Linked DNA regions of Drosophila melanogaster. The protein of the gene in region 2 interacts with the protein of the main gene of each other region in a pairwise test. Each region holds a gene or a part of one and is shown on either strand. Other genes may lie near its edges. The genes, in order: soti and klhl10.

Region 1 (3,368 bases), on a different chromosome or scaffold from region 2:
CACAGAAGCGCACACTTGCAGACACAATCCACCCACCACCACCCACTTCAATCCAGTCCAGCCCAACCCAGCTCAACCACCCAAAAACAGCCAACCACCCACGCACCCACACACTGGCAAGGTCGCCCGAAGCGACGAAGCAGCAGGGACATGTTCATTTCTTCATTGATAACTGGAAGGGAAGCTCATCCTGGCCTCGTTACTTAACCAACTGTAACAGTCCAACTCGTCTCTCAGAGAGGCAAGAGACTCGAAGAAAGAGATGGGGACAGGTGAGCAGAGAAGGAAGGCACGAACTGACGCAAACAGAAGGCGAAGGATGCAAGTTGCACTTAGAGAAATTGTATTACTATACACAGTAAGTTTCATTAAATGATATGAGTAAAATCAACTTAAGCACTAACTATATTATTTGTAATATTTCAAATGAATATAAAAACATCTTTGTTTATTGTTTATAATTTGTAATTTATTTTACTTGAACTTTTATTAATGCCTAACAAAAGATTTACCAACAAAAATTAAGATAAAACAAAATACTCTGCCCCGATTTGTCTCTGTGCAGCAGTAAAACAAAAATTTGCCCGTATTAAAGCAAAATAATGAAGTGAAAATGGCAACAATGTGATTACACACAGTCATAGACCCAAAGCCATAATAAATTGTTCCACAAGCGAGAGGTCAGATCTCAAGAGAGAGAGAGAGAGAGAAAGTGAGAGAGAGAGAGAGGAAAGAACGCAGTGAGAGCGAGGGGGAGCATCTGCGCATGCGCTAATCGAAATGTTGCTGATACATCCTTGGCAACATGATGGTAATGGCTAACTTGTTGGATGCAGCTGCTCCACTCCACTTCATTCCACTCCGCTTACACTTCCACTTCATAATTTCCTCCGGCGGGAAAAACTTTTCGCTCTCACAGCGATTTGTCTGGCAAACAATTTCCGAAATGCGATTGCTTAAACGCAATACGAAAAGTTATTAATTGAGCTGGCCGTAATGAGCTCATTTACAGATTGTAATGTGCTCCCATTACAGGCACACAAACAGCTGCCGATTTCGATTTCTCGATTCTGAATCCGGAGCACTTGATGCCAGGCATTCGAGTCGAGTTAAATGGCTTGTAATGACGACGTCGATGGGGCGTCGGTGGGGGGTTGTGAGTTCGTAAGGGTTGGGGTGGGTAAATAGGGCTAAATGTGTCCAATCACTTGGGGGCTGGCTATTGGGGTCTGAACCCGATTTGGAACAAGGCGAGCAAATGTCAGACAGCGATTTCCCATTTGTCACTGGCCGTTCGATATGGATATGACTACATCTAATGGATACACACAATTCTATCTAATCGCCCCCAGTTTAGGAGGCTGGAAAACAGGCGAAAAACTTTCGACCAAATGGGACTTGGTATGTGGCAAGTTTTCTTTGCTGATGCTCTTGGCTTCTAGACTCTCTAAATAATATAGAAATGACAAAACAAAAAACATCTTCCTCCTATCATTTATTAGCAAATATTCCTTTGATTTTTATGTCAGGTTTCCATTTCTCATAATCACAATGCCATGATATTAAATTCAGTTCTAAATCAAACTCAGACACTACAACTACAAAACGACACAACTGATACTACAGAGAAAAAAACATCGTATTGAATAGCAGAAGCACAACCTACACTGCCGTATTTATTGTTCAATTTTTGTTGGTTGTTTTTTTTTTTTTGTATGTGCCTGTAAGTTGGAATGGACGTACTACACGGACACGATCTGTACGATGAGCAGCTAATCGATCGAGTCGGCGACGCGGTGAATGAAGATGCTGGCGATGACTTGGACACATTGGAGGATGGACAGCAGCAGCAGCGCCTGGGAGTCAATCGTCAGATGGACATACTCCTGGACGCTCCTCAAGAGCCACCGTTGGGCGTTTTTCCGGCGCAAGGAGGGCCAAATGGACCACCACGTCGGCGGAAGAAACGAAGTTTCTACACTATGACCAAACCCACTCCGCCATGCCAAAGTCAGGAGCCGGAGATGTGCCTCCTAATGGCCAGTGTCACGAGGGCAATGCGTCACGTTCGCGAGGATCAGCGAGGCGAGTACTTTGCAAATTACCTCGTCGAGAATATGACCAGTCAGAACTACCCGAATGGTATGGGTCTGCCACAGCATTGGGGTCAGTTCTGATTCGCCATAGTTCTCCCATAGATTGTAAATTAGAAGAACCTCTCTTGGACCTCGGAAGATCGAGCAAGCTCATTGGGATCCCATACTACACATACATGTACACGTCCATATATCCAACCAGCCGATATGCATCCCATTAGTTATCTTTCCTCTAAAAACTTGCTCAAAACAAAAATACGTTACACCATAGTTATCTACCGCTCCACCAAGCTCAAAAAAGGAAAAAAAGACGTTACTTTACTGACTTACAGTTGAAAAATGTTTGCGGTTCAATCTTGTTCAATAAACAACACGATTTAGCAAACTTATATTTTCATATTTGGTTTTCAACTTATTGTTTTCCAAATTTATTCTACAATTGTTAACAAACCACATAATATATAAGTACCACATATATGTTAATAAAAACCGAATGATTTATCTAAATTAAATTGTCTATACAGTGACTATCACACTTTATTCAATATTTTCAAATCGAACTTCACTTACAGGTATCAGATTAATAACGCATTTATTGTTCAAATAGAGACTACTCCCTCTTGCAGCACCTACATAACGTACATACAAATCAAAGTTTTTGATTTTGATTTGCTTGCCGGCGGAGGCCGATTGGCCTGAAGGCTACCGAAAAATTCATGAAATTGACAATTAATAAACTTCAAATTGGAAGCCCCACATACGCCATGGATCCCATCACTCCGCCTCTGCCCTCTCATCTCTCCCTCGGCATTCTTGTGGCAAAAACAAAAGGATTTATATAGGCTCCCCTCCCAACAACAACAACACACATATGTGGACTACGGCCACTGACAATGGCCACAATGAACAGATGAACAGTGGAGAACCAGAGACAAAGGCCGAATGCGGACAATTGCCCAAAGTGTAGCAAATAAATACAAAATGCAAAAGATAATTGCAATCAAAGCCACAAAATGTAGCCAAAAGGCTTATAAATTGTGGGCGGCAGGCGGCTGAAATGCCGCAGGGATGAGGAAGGGGTGGTGGTGGGGGGGAATATACCGAAGGTAAACGCATTTAATTTCCTAAATGTGCTTCGCATGCCACAGCACAAAGATACACACTTGCATTCATATACAAATAGGCTGCAGTCAGTTGCAGTTGCAGTAGCAGTTGCAATTGCTGTTGCAATGTTGCAGTTGCAATTGCATTGGCCACATCACCAACGCCCCC
Region 2 (5,308 bases):
GAGTAAGGCTGAAGGCTGGCAACAACCCGGTTGGCAGCGCTGTTGAGCAGCAACATGATTGTCGGAAATCGAAGTTATCGACAATCAGTCATCGAAGGAACGATCGCAAGGCAGCAGTGGTGTGGAAGTCAGCGTGGCAGTCAGTCGAGTTCTCAGCAGCAGTCGTTCGGTCACAAACTAAGAATACTTTATATAATTACCGCATTTAGAATTAAACTAATAATTAAATTAATAATAAACAATAATAATAAACAATCTTACATGGGGGCTCGTCCAGTCCTAAATCGGTTATATGAAGGTGCAGTTGTTTAAAGAAAAAAGACATTGTTGTGTGCGTGGGTATAGTCTTTAAAAGTTGTAAAGTTGTGGCTATATCTATTGCATTTAAAGTTGGAAAAATCAGTTGTACAGATTTTGTTTGAACACAAGTCGGTAAAAGTCGGGAAAGCTGCTAGAGAGAACTGATAAAGTTGAAATTGTCGTGTGCGTGGATTTAGTCTTTAAAGTTGTAAAGTTATGGCTACGTCTACTGCATTGAAAGTTGAAAAAATCGATTGAACTCATACAGACTCAAGTCGTTTTGCTGTTGTGGAATTTAAAACAATTAAATTGCAAAGGTGGTGAAATTCGTTTCTAACGAAAATCAAAATTTGTCTTTTAACCGGTGGCGCCGTCTGCAAAATCGACTACCGTCGCGCCGTTAGAACATTGTCGTTGTTTGCTGGTGTTAGTGCCTTGTCGCGGAATGTTCACACGTACACCACCTACAAATAAAAAACTTAACACCGACCAAATACAAGCAATTCTAGAGAACGAAAGCGAGGACGAAAGCAGAAAAGAAAAAATGAACGAAGAAGATCAAAAGTTGGCGCCTGTAGGAGAAGCAGAGGCAAAGAAGCAGAATAAAGACGCTAGTGCTAAAGTCGAAGAGAAATTTGAACAAATGATGAATACTCTAACCCAGAGCATGTTGGCAAAATCTAAACAAGAGGGGCAAGTAATTATCGCTGCAGAAAAATTTGAAAAAGTTGTAAGTGACTGTGATGGCAAATCAATTCCTATTAAAAAATGGTTTGAAATTTTTGAGAAAAATGCCGAGGCATATGAACTTTCGGAGAAACAAAAATATGTTCAAGCCAGAAGTAAGATGATTGGATCAGCAGAACTTTTCTTAGAATCTGAATGTGTCAGTGGATACACTGAACTCAAAGAGTTACTAATTGAAGAATTTTCAGGCAGCTATAATAGCGCCGTTATTCACAAAAAGTTGCAAGACAGGAAGAAGAAGAGGGAGGAAACTCTACACGACTATTTGTTACAAATGAAGAAAATAGCAGCCTTAGGTGAAGTTGAAACAGTTGCTTTGATAACTCATATCGTAAACGGCCTCGACATTAAAAAGGAGTATAAGGGTGCTATGCTCCGTTGTAAAACTCTTAAGGAATTAAAGCAAGAATTCGAAATCTACGAGAGTCTGAATATTGTTGACAAGCCGAATATTCAACCAAAACCAAAGCAAATTACACAAGGTGTAAAAGCAGATCACTGCTTCAACTGTGGTTCGAGGGAACACAAACGAAAGGATTGTACACTTCCTACCAAATGTTTCAGCTGTAATCAAGAGGGCCATATCTCAAGCAAGTGTCCGGAAAAAGTAAACAGCATGCGCATTCACGTTGATAGTGCACGAACAAAGCCAGTAATCATAAATGGGATTATCATCAACTGTCTGGTGGACACAGGATCAGATGTGACCATAATTAAAGAAGCTATATTCAAGAAGATGAAAGATGTTGATTTAAACCGCACTGCAACAGTATTGCGAGGTTTGGGAAATGCCTCAACACAGCCGATTGGATGCTTCAGAGCATTAATCAAGACCGACCAGGTGGAAGCAAGCCACAACGTTTTAGTCGTCCACGATTCTAAATTCAGTTGCGATGGAATAGTGGGACACGATTTTATCAGCAAGTTTCGTCTTATCTGTAGTGCAGAAGGCTATACTTTTCTTGACCTGGAAGCAGATAAAAAACAAGCGGTTGAGTATTCCCAAATGTTTAATATTTGTGAAGAATCTTCTTTTACAGTTGCACCACAATACCGAGAAGACGTTGAACGCATGATAGAGAGAACATACGAAACACCACCCAAGCAGATAAAGCAATGTCCAGTCGAACTCAAAATTATTCCTGATGGCGTGATTAAACCCTTTCGCCATGGACACACCCGACTATCTGAAGAAGAAGCTATAGCTGTAAAGAAGCAGGTAGAGGAATGGGTCGAGCAGTCAATCGTCCGTAAATCTACATCAAATGTTGCCAGTCGCATAGTCGTTGTCAAGAAAAAGGATGGTACCCTACGCGTTTGCGTGGACTATAGAAAATTGAACACCATGGTTCTGATGGATTGTTTTCCGGTACCCATAATGGAGGAGGTGCTTGAAAAACTGCAGAGTGCCAAATGGTTTACAACCATGGACTTACAGAACGGATTTTTTCATGTGGCCGTAGAAGAAGCCAGCAAGCCGTACACAGCATTTGTTACCCGAGAAGGCTTATTCGAGTTTAACAAAGCGCCCTTTGGTTTTAAGAATTCCCCAGCAGCGTTTATACGGTTCGTTCAATTTATTTTTCAAGAACTAATCAATTCCAATATAATGCAGCTATATATGGATGACATAATTGTATATGCCGCTACCCCAGAAGAATGCATGGAAAAGACGGAAATGGTACTTAAGAGAGCTGCAGAATTTGGTCTAAAAATAAAATGGAAGAAGTGCAACTTTATGCAGAGGCGAATTCATTTCCTGGGACATATTATCGAAGGTGGACAAATATGCCCTGGAAAAGAGAAAACATCAGCAGTGAATTCCTTTGGAACACCTCAGAATGTAAAAGCCGTTCAAGGATTTCTGGGTCTCACAGGATTCTTCAGAAAATTCATACCTGGATACGCCCAAATTGCGAGACCACTGACGGACCTATTAAAAAAAGATGCCATTTTCAACATTGGACCAGTAGAGCAGCAGTCGGTGAATAAGCTGAAAGAGATTCTGGTAAACGAACCAGTATTGAGGATCTACTCACGAGAAGCAGAAACCGAACTTCATACAGATGCCTCTAAGGACGGGTTAGGAGCCGTTTTATTGCAGAAGTTCGAAGGCAGTTTTCACCCAGTCTGCTTTTGGAGCAGAAAAACTACAAAAGCCGAATCAAATCGTCATAGTTACTACCTTGAAGTAAAAGCCGCATACTTAGCTCTGAAAAAGTTCAGACACTATTTATTGGGAGTCCCTTTCAAGCTCGTCACGGACTGTGTCGCATTTAAACAGACAACAAAAAAAGCAGATGTCCCAAGAGAAGTTGGCCCATGGATTCTCTATATGCAGGATTTTAATTTTCAACCCGAACATCGTGCAGGAGAAAGAATGAGACACGTTGATTTTTTAAGCCGCCATCCCCAAGCATGCATGATGATAACATCCGAGTTGACAGCACGTATTAAAAAGTCGCAGCAGAACGATGATTCAATTAGAGCAATCCCGGAAATTCTAAAAGATCGTCTATTCCAACCCTACAAGCTAAAAGGTGGCCTGTTGTATAGTATGGTCAATGGCAATGAACTACTGGTTGTCCCTGCACTAATGGAGAGGGAGGTGATTCAAAGCGCACATGAAGTTGGCCATTTGTCGTTGCAAAAGACGATGCATAGCATACAGCAGCAATTTTTTATTCCTCATTTGGAATACAAGGTAAAAAAGCTAATTTCTAACTGTATAAAATGTATCATCCACAGCAAAAAGTTGGGAAAGCAGGAGGGATATCTAAATTGCATAGATAAAGGAGACGCACCGTTGCACACACTACACATCGATCATTTGGGGCCAATGGATTCATCGGCCAAACAGTATAAATACATTCTGGCAACAGTCGATGCGTTTTCAAAGTTTGTCTGGTTATTCCCAACCAAATCAACCGGACAGGAAGAAGTGGTCAAGAGGCTGACCGACTGGTCAAACATTTTTGGTTTCCCTAAGCGAATTGTTAGCGACAAAGGAACGGCCTTTACGAGTGGTGCGTTCGAACAATTTATGAGCAGCCATAACGTGGAACACGTCTGCACAACTACTGGAGTGGCCAGAGGCAACGGCCAGATAGAACGAGTAAATCGTTTAATTTTGGCAATAATATCAAAGCTGTCTTCAGACGAACCGTCGAAGTGGTACAAATATGTGCCTGAGGTACAAAAGGCGATCAACTGTCACGTGCATTCATCACTGAAGCTGTCACCATTTGAGGTCATGTTTGGCACCAAGATGTACACCCGAGTTGAGGATCGGTTACTGGAACTGCTCCAAGAAGAAGTGGTCTGTCAATTCAACGAGGACCGCTATGAGATGAGACAGCTGGTAAAACGCAACATCGAGCAGGCGCAGAAGGACTACAAGCGCAATTACGACAAAAAGCGCCGAGCTGAATACAAATACAAAGCAGGTGATCTGGTTGCAATTAAAAGGACCCAATTTGTAGCTGGCCGCAAGATGGCAAGCGGGTATTTAGGTCCATACGAAGTCACAGGGGTCAAAGACAATGGCAGATATGACGTTAAAAAAGCAGCAAACGTCGAAGGACCCAATGTCACATCCACCAGCTGTGACAACATGAAGTTGTGGAAGTACATAGCCGAAAATGCAGACCTATTGTCATCCGGGTCGGATGATGATGATCAGGAGGGCCGAATGTAACATGGAGTAAGGCTGAAGGCTGGCAACAACCCGGTTGGCAGCGCTGTTGAGCAGCAACATGATTGTCGGAAATCGAAGTTATCGACAATCAGTCATCGAAGGAACGATCGCAAGGCAGCAGTGGTGTGGAAGTCAGCGTGGCAGTCAGTCGAGTTCTCAGCAGCAGTCGTTCGGTCACAAACTAAGAATACTTTATATAATTACCGCATTTAGAATTAAACTAATAATTAAATTAATAATAAACAATAATAATAAACAATCTTACATAAATCTTTGTAATGCTGTTATTTTCATTTTTATACTTTTACCAAAATTAGTTACATTTGTATATATGTATATACATATATATTTTAAGCGCGGATTTATAAATTTGTTAAGAAGAAAATTGTGGTGTCAAATAAACATTAAACATAAAAGGTTAATTACATTTACTTATTTGGTTAGTATCCATGTAATCATAAGCCTAATGTGGTAACAAAAATTTACCATAACACAAAGACTCCGAGAAGCATACCTCAACGGTAGGAGCGGACTATTTTTATGCACTAGTAAGATACAAACGAA

Evidence for each region.
Region 1: the proteins of klhl10 (region 2) and soti interact in a two-hybrid assay, tested with the Drosophila melanogaster proteins (one study listed by BioGRID).

The regions. Positions count from the first base shown.
Region 1 is NT_033777.3:14,379,895-14,383,262, reverse strand, and holds soti (scotti), read left to right. Parts: upstream 1-1,563; 5' UTR 1,564-1,733; coding exon 1,734-2,177; 3' UTR 2,178-2,600; downstream 2,601-3,368. UniProt on the Drosophila melanogaster protein: Post-meiotically transcribed gene that has a role in late spermiogenesis; required for actin cone progression during spermatid individualization.
Region 2 is NW_007931083.1:51,321-56,628, reverse strand, and holds the start of klhl10 (kelch like family member 10), read right to left. Parts: upstream 3,188-5,308; 5' UTR 3,087-3,187; intron 1-3,086.